2 linked regions of the Canis lupus familiaris genome follow. The protein of the gene in region 1 purifies or fractionates together with the protein of each later gene. This does not show direct contact. Links are inferred from orthologs where the notes say so. Each region holds a gene or a part of one and is shown in the gene's direction. Other genes may lie near its edges.

The links.
Region 2: the proteins of ZEB1 (region 1) and EP300 purify together in Homo sapiens (affinity purification with western blotting; 5 studies listed by BioGRID, with this or other methods). This does not show direct contact. The link is inferred for Canis lupus familiaris from reciprocal best matches to the Homo sapiens genes ZEB1 and EP300.

What each region holds. Positions count from the first base shown.
Region 1 is NC_049223.1:13,318,380-13,324,016, reverse strand, and holds the start of ZEB1 (zinc finger E-box-binding homeobox 1), read left to right. Parts: upstream 1-1,913; 5' UTR 1,914-1,972; coding exon 1,973-2,030; intron 2,031-2,253; exon of another isoform or gene 2,254-2,449; intron 2,450-3,210; exon of another isoform or gene 3,211-3,409; intron 3,410-5,637. UniProt on the Homo sapiens protein: Acts as a transcriptional repressor. Inhibits interleukin-2 (IL-2) gene expression. Enhances or represses the promoter activity of the ATP1A1 gene depending on the quantity of cDNA and on the cell type.
Region 2 is NC_049231.1:25,041,202-25,046,308, reverse strand, and holds part of EP300 (histone acetyltransferase p300), read left to right. Parts: intron 1-447; coding exon 448-515; intron 516-1,360; exon of another isoform or gene 1,361-1,462; intron 1,463-1,633; coding exon 1,634-1,784; intron 1,785-1,902; coding exon 1,903-2,049; intron 2,050-2,603; coding exon 2,604-2,717; intron 2,718-3,460; coding exon 3,461-3,626; intron 3,627-4,387; coding exon 4,388-4,552; intron 4,553-5,107. UniProt on the Homo sapiens protein: Functions as a histone acetyltransferase and regulates transcription via chromatin remodeling. Acetylates all four core histones in nucleosomes. Histone acetylation gives an epigenetic tag for transcriptional activation.

The sequences.
Region 1 (5,637 bases):
CTTTGTTTCTTTGATTTTAAGGTGAAGACGAACGTTGAACGAAGCTTAGTTAGGGAGGTATGGGACAAACGGTTCAGAAAGAGAAAAGGACATGATTAATAGTTCCTAAGTTCAGGAATAGGTAGTGTGTGCTAAGTACAAAGTTGTTTTGTTTTGCTTTCCCGGACTGGAAATTAGGGTACCTGTAAAAGAGTTGTGTGGTGGTGGTGGTGGTGGGGGAACTGCTGGATTCAGAAGGCAACTGAAGAACACCGTACAGCTTTTAGAAGGCAGGAAAAAATTACCACCCGAACCAAGCGAAACAGGGACATGGTTCTGGTTCTGACATACACAATTTGTTAACAGGGAATAATTAAGGAAATTGAGGACTGAATGTACTCGTCAAGAGTAATGAGTCTAGTTTCAGCACTGAGGATGAGTAGATGTATAGGCCATAATGTATAGCAAAGAATATTTACAGTCACATTTCATGCCCTAATAAATAATGCATTCACTTCTCAAAATGCCAAAGAAAATGTGGAAGGGAGAATTTCATCTATATTCAGGATTAAACTTTCTAATTTTAAATTACCAGGCTTCAAATGTAAATTTATTTCAGTTGAAAGGTTTGGAGAGATTATTAATGGATCTTCTAAAATTCTGGAGTTTTAAAGGATGATTTTAACACCATAATCTTTGCCATAGGTATGGCAAAAATCATAGACGTAAACGTGTTGAGTGAGCACCTACTACGTGACAGCACCGTGCTGGTAATGCCGTACGTCACTTTTCAGTATCCTCCATCTCTTTCTCAGTAACTTTCACATGCCTCATTTACAACTTGAAATACAGCTCATTTTGTTCCATGAAGCTGCTACCAAAGACATTTCCCCATCTGAACGGGGAAAAACGTGGGGGATGGGGGGAGGAAGGGAAGCTAAATCCTACCGGACACCGAGAACTTGACTTTTTCGGGATTTGGAGTGTTAACGTCTATGGTATTTCGGAAATCTTCTAACTTGTACAAAGTCAGGGGCTGGAGATAAGATCAACAATCCATCCGTTTCAGAGGCCACATCTGTCAGCCCCGGTTTCTCGCCGTCAGATCCTGGCCCCGTCCGCTCCGAGGGGGGCAGGGCACGGGGCGGGGGCGGCCGAGGTGACAGCAGGTGAGAGCCCCAAGCGCAGGAGGAAGTGAGACCGCGGCCGGGTGCGTATTATTCATTCCGCTTTACCGCCGCTGTCGCCGGCAAGCGGAATTGCTCGCCTGTCTTTCGGTGCAGCTCGAGCTCTATCTGCCCGAAGTCCCTTCCCACCCCGGTTCGCTCGGGGGGGGAACCGAGCGTCCGCGTAAGGAGGGGAGTCCGCGTACGGGTCAGGGTCCGGTAGCCTCCCTCGTGACGCCGCGAGCCCTCGCCGGGCCCCCCGCACCTGCCCTCCCGCTGCCCCCGGGGACCACCCGGGGGCCTGGGGCACAACCCGCTCCCGCGCCCCACCGTGCGCTGAGCGAGCACTCGCTGCGTGGGCGCGGAGCCCAGCCTTGACCGAGCGGGGGGACCGGGTCCTGAAGGGATCAGCCAGACCCGTCCGCACCTCAGGCGGCCGCGGCGGGTGTGGCCAGTCCGGAGGGGCAGCGCCACTGAGCCTCCTACTTTACCTTTCTCACTCGGACCGCCCGCCACCCTTCTGACCGCGTCCCCACAGCCTCCCAACGCTCCCTCCCCGGTCCCCCAACACCTGAAGGAAACTTTTCCCTCTCCCCTCCATTCAAACTCAGCTGCTTCTACGGTCGCCGCAAACCGTCCTCTCCTAGCAACAAGGTTCCGGCCGTAGAGCGAGCGGCTCTAGGTGTTAGGAAGGTGATGTCGTAAAGCCGCGAGTGTCGTAAACCAGGTGCGGTGGGGAGGGGGGAGGGGTGGAGGCGGAGGGGTGGGGGGAAGGGGGAGGGAGGGGGAGGAGGTGACTCGAGCATTTAGACACAAGCGAGAGGATCATGGCGGATGGCCCCAGGTGTAAGCGCAGAAAGCAGGCGAACCCGCGGCGCAATAACGGTGAGTGGCGGAGGGGACCGGGGAGCGGCGGAGTCAGGGGGAGCCGGGCAGCCGGGGCGCCCCCGAGGGCGAGGGGGGCGAGCCGGGCTGGGGGCGGCCGGGGCAGGGACGGGCAAAGTGGAGTGGGAAAGTAGAAAGTAGTGCTCTGTGCCCCCCTCCGCCGCCGCCGCTGCCGGAGCCGCGCCGCGGCCGCTCGCTCTCCCTGAACCGTTATGTCTCTTACCTGGTCTCTCTCCGCCTAGCGGCTCCTGCCGCCCCTGCCGCCGCCTGGACCGTTAGCCGCCGCATCCCCGGCGCAGGGCGGGCGGCCGGGACGCGGCCGCCACTTTTCTGGTCCCGGGTGGAGCGGCTGTTGCTTCTTTTCGCACTTTTCCCCACTCTTCGCCCCTCGGCGCCTCCCCTCTCCCCCTCCTCTCAGCCCCCTCCGCGTTATTCTCCCTCGGCGCGGAGGCCCTCGGGAGCCGCGGAACAAACTTGTGGCCGGTGCTGCCCTTGCAGAGTGGCTTCCGCGCGCCCGGCCCCGGCCGGCGGCGTCGCTCGGGCCCCCGGCTCGGGCCGGGCCGGGCTGCGGGCGCGCGGAGGGCGGGCGGCGGGCGGCGGGCGGCGGCGGCGGCGGCGGCGGGCTGCGTGTCGTCCGTGCGCGCGTGTGCGCGGGCGCCGGCGGGGCGCGCGGCGGGCGGGCGGACGGGCGGGCGGACGGGCAGACGGGCGGACGGGGTTCGGCCGGCGGCGGTAAAGTTGTGACCGGCCGGCGAGGCGCGCAGGCGGACGGGTCCCTAAAGCGCCCCTCCTCCCCGCGCCTCCGGCCCCCGTGTCCCCGGCCCGGGCCCGGCCCCCGGAGCCGAGCCCCGCGGGGGAGCTGGCGGGCGGCGGGGCGGCCGGGGCGCGAGCGGGCACCTACTTGCCGCCGTGGGAGCCGCGTGGATGGCGGCGGGCGTGCTTGTGGACTTGTTACCTGGTCTTGGGGGCCGGGAAGCACCACAGACAGATCCCCGACCCCGGGGGACACTCCTGCCCCGCGCCGGGACGGGGCTCCGTGCGAACGCCTCGCTGTTCTCTTTCGGTTTTTGGGGAAGTTGTTACCTGGGCCGGACGCGCGGAGCGCTGAAGCCGGATAATGGAGCTGGGATGGCGCTCGGTCTCGGGTGGAAGGAGGGTGGGGGAGGGGCGGACGGACCGACGGACGCGCGGGTCCGCTGCCCTCGCTGCGGCTGCGGGGATTATCGATGGGCGCCGCGGTGCCGGGGCCGCACGCACCCCTCGGCCTGACTTCGGACTTAAAAAGAAATGAGAGACAGCGATACGGACGGCAAGAGAGAGCGAGACCCGAACATGTGGTGGTTGTTGCACAGTCGCCTTGTCCAGTTTGGGGAGACGTTGTAAGTTGATTCTATTTCTGCTTATCTCGGGGCGATTCTGTGCTTTCCCTCCGTCTCGTGCGGCAGCGACATGTCTGCTGGCTGGTATTGTCTGGACGGTTCCTGTGGCGAGCGGGGCGAGACCGGGGGGCGCGGGGGCGCGGGGCGCGGGGGCGCGGGCGAGGTCCTCGCCGCCCGGTACCTGTTTGTATAATATGGGCGGCACCGGCCCGCCGCTGGCCGCGCCGAGGCTATATAAGGAATTACACGCGCATGTCGGACCCGGGGGCTCCTAAGGCTGCCCACGGGATTTTTTAAACGAGTTTTTAACTGTAGGGAAATTAATGCGCCTATGATGGGATCGCTGTTTCTTCCAGAAAATGAGGAAATACGTGTTTCAGTACAAACTCTCTCGCACTCCCCCCGCCCCACCCCACCCCCGCTCCTGGGCTGCTTTCCTCCCTCCGCTCTGGGATGCGAAACGCGAGGTTTTGTAACCTTTCCTGGCAATTTTAGATTTTTGTGTGGGATTTCCTGTCTAGAAGCAGATACGAAGATTTTAAGCTGTTTCAAGATGTTTCCTTCCAATCGTAAAAATATTTTTGATGTATTTGAGCCGACATTAAAATCACTGCGTTGGTGAATGATTTTAGTTCTTCAAATAAACGTTTGCATTTTAAAGACGTCTGTTAATGATGACTGATAACTAATATTTGGTATCGTCATTGTGGAGAGATGACTTGTTACAGCAAGGAGCGGAGCATAGGCTATTGCAATTTTAATTTCCTGTTTTAGCGTCAAATAGTGTGCTATATTGAGCTGTTGCCACTGTTGCTGATGTGGCTTTATGAAAGGTAAGTTGGTTCGGAAAGGGCTGCTGGTTTTGGTTTTGTTTTTTTTTTTTTTTTTTTTTTTTACCTTATTTAAAATGTTCATCGCCGGAGAAAGGGGCTTTTCTTGTTGCTGACGACATGTGTGTGACATGTGAGTCTGAACCACCCAGCGTCTGTGCAGCTGCTGTAAACATGTTTACCTGAACAGGAAAGAATGGATTTTTCTCCTAAAGATCCCGTGATATGAATATTACACTCATAAGGCATATCAACAGATGACTTAAGGGGGAAAAAAGCTATCCTGAAAGGTACTTGAAATCAACAGGAAAAGAGGTTCTCGATCGCTGCAGCAAATGGCAACTTGTGCAGGTAGAAAAAAGATGGTGTTTAGTTTTCTCCTGCATGTATGTCAGCCCCCTCCTGTCTGCTGCTTTCATTCTCAAGGGAGGGATTTATTTACCATGCTTGCTGTCAGTGTTTTTCCTTTGTGTTTAATATTAGAAAAACAGATTTGGGCTATTTAGCACAAAATGTCTTGTCTGCAGTCTGCATTACTCACAGAAAACAAAAGGTGTTTAAGATAGCACCATACTACTACAGGTATCTTCCATTTTCATCACTTTTGGCTCTGTCCTTGTATTTCTTTTTGTTCTCAAATGCATTTCATCCATTGCCGGTGATTACAGCCATGCTATTTGATTAAACCTTATAATTTGCAAATTAAAAATGAAGTTATATGCCATTGTGTCGTGAAACCTCAGAATAGGTGCTGGTTAAATATTTCTTAGCAACGCAGTCAGATTTAAGTTGCAGTTGTTTTTTGGAGAGAATTGCATGAAAGATGTTAACTCTTAAATCTTTTTAATGAGGGAATAAATGATGTGTACAGTGGGCAACAGTCCCAGGGATACTTTATGTTGTTATTTATATGTAAATAATTTTTTGTTCATTTAAAAATAAGATATGCAGATTTTACTGCTAAGCCTCCAGTAAAACATTTTAATTTCCCTTCTGGAATATATCTTCGAAGTAGGATATTAATAGGAGAATCAAGTAATGTAACTTAACAGGGGTAAACCAGTTGAGCAAGGTTTGACCAAGCATCAAACCTTAGGTGGTAACTTTATGGTGATGATGTTAGTTATCTATAAAGGAGTGGCATTAGAATTGCGTAAAATTGATTTTTACCATTTGTAATGTAATGCTTTGTTGTATTTTAAAAATATGTCTTCTAATTTTCCACTTCACTCTGTGTGTGGTTTTCATATGTATGTATATATACATTTGGGATGGGGGGCAGGGAGAGAAATGTGCTCTAGCTGCTAATGACCACATGCTGATTAATTTACTTTAGATAGAATAGCAGGTACGTATTTTTCTGTCATTTGCACCATTTCCACTTGCTGTCATTGGAAG
Region 2 (5,107 bases), on another chromosome or scaffold:
TCTTGCTCTCTCTCTCTCTTGCTCTCTCACTCTCTTGGGAATAAATAAAATCTTAAAAAAAAAAAAAAAAAAGAAAGAAATTGTACTTAATCACGCACATCCTTATATAATTGGGACAGAGAGAATGTATTAGTCCTACTCTCAAAACTTACTGATTTACATTCCTGCCAGTAGGGATATATACTTTTGCCAGTGTGATTGTCCAAAAACTGAAATTCCTGTTTATCAGCCAGTTTATATGCCTTTGACATTTCCTCATGTTTTTTGCCTGTTTTTCAATTAGGCTTTTTTATTAAGTCGTTGTTTTATATGTATAGAAATATTTCTCCCAGGTTGTCTTTTGACTTTTAACTTGGTACATATATGTAGTAGTAGATTTTGTTACTAGTACATGTTACCTTAAATGTTCATGTAACTGTGTAAGCAAAGTCTTGGTTTACATTTTAGATTTGTCTGTGATGGCTGTTTAAAGAAATCAGCACGAACCAGGAAAGAAAATAAGTTTTCTGCTAAAAGTAAGTTTTAATTTTACAAGTAAATCCTGGCAATACTTCCACTGAAGCATAGTTAAAAATAAACCATGCAAGGGATGCGTGGCTTGTTCATTAGGAAGAGCCTGTGACTCTTGATTTCTGGGTTGTGAGTTTGAGCTCCACATTAGGTGTAGAGATTACTTAAGGATTAGGATTTGAAATGTGCAGGATAGGTGTTCTTTTTCCTACATTTCTTCATATTTAGGGCATTCCTAATTGGGGCTGCATGTGGAAATATGTCCAGAATTGCCATCCCATCAGTGATTACCTCAATTTGGTCCAAACTTTTAGTTGGGGCCTCTTTCAGACCTATCTCACTTGGGTGGTTGGGGTAGTGGTAGTCAAAGATTGTATCCTGGGGTGCACCTGGGTGGCCCAGTCAGTTGGGCAGATGCCTTTGGCTTGGGCATCTTCGGCTTGGGCATGATCCCTGGGGTCCTGGGATTGAGCCCCGCGTGGAGCTCCCTGCTCTGCGGGGAGCCTACTTCTCCCTTTCCCTCTGCTCTTCTCCCTATTTGTGTTCTCTAGCTCTCTCTCTGTCAAATAGGTAAAATAAAAATCTTAAAAAAAAGATTGTATCCTGTATACAGTCGAGATTATTGCATTATAATATTTGGTTTAATTTTGTGGATACCTTTGCAGTTTTTACTGACCTACAGATTGCTTTTTATTCCTATAAGGCTTCTCATAATATCCAACCATTGTTATTTTAAAATATCACTGCAATCAAGCCAAAGTGCATGTGGATGTTGTATTTTGTGACTTCTGAAATTAGAAGATTTTCCAAGTAAAAAGTTGGGTGGAAAACACCTAAAATTCACTACCATGTTTGCTTCAGCTGCGCATATACTAAAATTGGAATGATACAGAGATTTGTATAGCCCCTATGTAAGGATGGCACACAAATTCATGAAGTAGCTCCTATTTTTTAAAAAACGATGGTTTTCAAGTATTGATCACATTGCTAACTTTTAACAAAATCAGGTTATCCTATTTGGACGGAGAATACAAAAATGATATTTGATATTGAAGCTTAAGAGTTAACAATAATGAATTTGCACCTTGGCTAACTGCAGAACTTTTCACTTCTGCACTTCTAGGGTTGCCATCTACCAGGCTTGGCACCTTTCTGGAGAATCGTGTGAATGATTTTCTTAGACGTCAGAATCACCCTGAGTCGGGAGAAGTCACTGTTCGGGTAGTGCATGCTTCTGATAAAACTGTGGAAGTGAAACCAGGCATGAAAGCAAGGTATCCAATAATTTTCCCTTTTCTTCTCTTGTGGTTCTACAAGCACTTGACAGTTAATTGCTGATGATTCTGGTTTAACTGAGACCTCGTGTTTTTCTTTCCAATCTGGATTATGTAGGTTTGTAGATAGCGGAGAGATGGCAGAGTCTTTTCCTTACCGAACCAAAGCCCTCTTTGCCTTTGAAGAGATAGACGGTGTTGACTTGTGCTTCTTCGGCATGCACGTTCAGGAGTATGGCTCCGACTGCCCTCCACCCAACCAGAGGTAGGACTTGGCCCACTGCCTTCCAGTTGAGTGGGAGTTTGCAGTTCAATAGGCAAAAAGCATTGTGGGCAAGGAACTATTTGATGTACTTGCTTTGGAAATGGAAATGCAAACTGTGTTCATAGTAATAAGGAGGAGTATCAAACAGCCTGAAATGAGAAGTGGGAAGCAGACTGTTTTTCAGAAAATGGGCTTAATTCTTGATTGTGTTAGGTGCCTTGCCTGGGAGATAATGTGAAAGAATGTCACACAAGTAAAGTTAGGATATGGTTTAGAATTTGTTTCCAAAATAGTATAAAGGCCAGAATAAGAATGCTACCAGAATACACTTGGATCCATAAATACTAATACACTATGCTTCAAGCGCTGCTGGGTACTGAGGCTCACCAGACTCTCCTAAAGAGTGCACAGCCTAGTCATGTACTTAACTGTGACTGTGTGATGTGTATTATAAATGAGGTGAAAAAGAGCACAGAGGAGATTGTGTTTTTAGCCATATTAGTAAGAACTCCTTATGTGACTTGACATGGTTTCTTTCTCCCCACTTGATACAGGAGAGTTTACATATCCTACCTTGACAGTGTTCATTTCTTCCGTCCTAAATGCTTGAGGACTGCAGTCTATCATGAAATTCTAATTGGATATTTAGAATACGTCAAGAAATTAGGGTAAGCATATTGACAAATGCTATCTTTAAAAACAATGAGCTTAAACTAATTAAATTTTTAACTAATTACCACTGTGGTATTGTGGTGAAACTTAGATTAAAGCAGAGAGGTGACTTTGTTCCCTTTTCTCAGTGTTGCCAGTCGGACAGAAATGGATATGTTGACCCTAGTCATACTTATCCCAGATTAGTTTTCTTTTGTTCAGTTAAGGTGTTAGGTACAGTTTGATTGGAAGGTTGGTACTCATTCAGGGCCAGAACCTTGAACTGCAGTTGACCCTCTCATACCTAGGTATCAGAACCAAAATAGACTAGGGTCTGGAAATACTCAAATTAGCCTGATTCTTTACCTTCAGGGTATACGTGTGCTTGAGAACATTCACTACCGCACCTTGCAAGTTCTTCCTTTTATCACTTAGCTTTCTTCCATTCCTTGTTCCGTGTTGTTGGAATGGATCCATGTTCCTTTGCATTGTAGCTTTTCTTTTGTCTTCACATGCAAATTTGGGATTTGGGAATCCAGGGTTAGCCTCTAAGAAGAACTAGGCAATGTGACACCCATTGTAAGTGCTGTAGGTTAGGCCTGAATCTGGCCTAAGAATTTCGATCTGATTCTGGGTTGTACACTTGATATTGTCTTAGAAAAAAAATCATTGGTTTCCATATTGACTCCACGTTGTAGCATTCTTTCTGGAATAGATGATAAACTTTTCTCTTGAATATTCCCCCTCTTTGTGTTGTTAGATATACAACAGGACATATTTGGGCATGTCCCCCAAGTGAGGGAGACGACTATATCTTCCATTGCCATCCTCCTGACCAGAAGATACCCAAGCCCAAGCGACTACAGGAGTGGTACAAAAAGATGCTTGACAAGGCTGTGTCTGAGCGAATCGTCCATGACTACAAGGTCAGGAGGAATGGGGGGCGATGACTGATCCTGCAGCTCTGTATTCTGCTATTTGACTATCTTAACAAAAATCTTCTGTACTCCCTTTTTCAAACCAAGAAAAACTCAGTTTTAAATGTCTTAGATCAACAAATCTCTGTTTTAAAGATGTGATGAAAAACGTATTCTTAATAGCCATTCATGATTAGAGGGCATCTCATGATAAGAACTTGAACAGATAAGTTTCTTATCTGTTTTTACTCCTGGGGAGAAAAGTAAGAACTGGATGTTTTCCCAGGCAGCAGAGCAGAGCAGCCTGTGGCCATGCAGTTTCCAGTATTTGTGGTTTGGGTTGTTTTGAACATATTTCTCAGTCAGGGGATGGGTGATGGGAACAAGGCAGGCATTCCTCACATTGTATTGCATTGTGTCATCAGCAATAGTAAAGGCTGCGGCGTGATTGATGGGGCCTGAGCCATCAGTCCTCGCAGGAAGATGTCCCACTTGGCTTTATAAAGGCAGGTAACTTCCCTATCCTCACAGGCAGAGGAAAGACAGAACCAGAACCACTGACCTCAGACCTTGAGTTTTTACTGTTTAAGACTAAATGTCCCCCTGGGCCATGGGGCTTAGGTATAAATCTCTCTGCTGCCTTTCTTTCAGAAGACATTATAATCCTTCAGGTTTCTTGTGTCTGCTAGCTGTGACTGCTTCTGAATGATAAATGCTTCTTTAAAAAAAAAAAAAAACCAAATTCCTACTTGTACCTGGTATTTTCACAGGATATTTTTAAACAAGCTACTGAAGATCGATTAACAAGTGCAAAGGAGTTGCCTTACTTTGAGGGTGATTTCTGGCCCAACGTTCTGGAAGAGAGCATTAAGGAGCTAGAACAGGAGGAAGAAGAGCGAAAGCGAGAAGAAAACACCAGCAACGAGAGCACAGATGTGAGGGCTTTGCATTTTCCTTCCCAGCTTCCACCTTGATTCTCGAGTATAATCCGCCATCAGGCTTCAACTTTTGACTTGGTCTTAAAGCTTTCGGCGTGAAAGAGCTTTATTTTTTTTAATTAATCAATTATTTATTTATTTATTTTTGGAAAGAGCTCTTTAAATTGGTCAAGAAATAATTCTGTTTCAGTGGTTTTCAACCTTTTTAGCATCAGACCTCATTTTAACTGAAACCTTGGATTTCTGATAATGGAAAACAGAAGGAAACCCTGAAAAACTGATAGAAAATTAGCTACATAGAGCAGGAGGCTGGCAAAAGTACTTTCCATAAAGATTCAGATTGTGAATAATTGGGGCTTTTTTTTTTTTAAACACCACACCACTTTATAAGTGTACAGAGCATTCTGGGCCTTACAAAAACACACCTAGGTCAGAGATTGCCAGGAGGTTTTGTGAGGAGGACATTCTGAGGAGCTTTTCCTGGTTAGTAATTTTCTGATAGCATAGCTGCAATGGTCTCCGTTGAGTCTGACCTAACGAAAGTCTCTCATA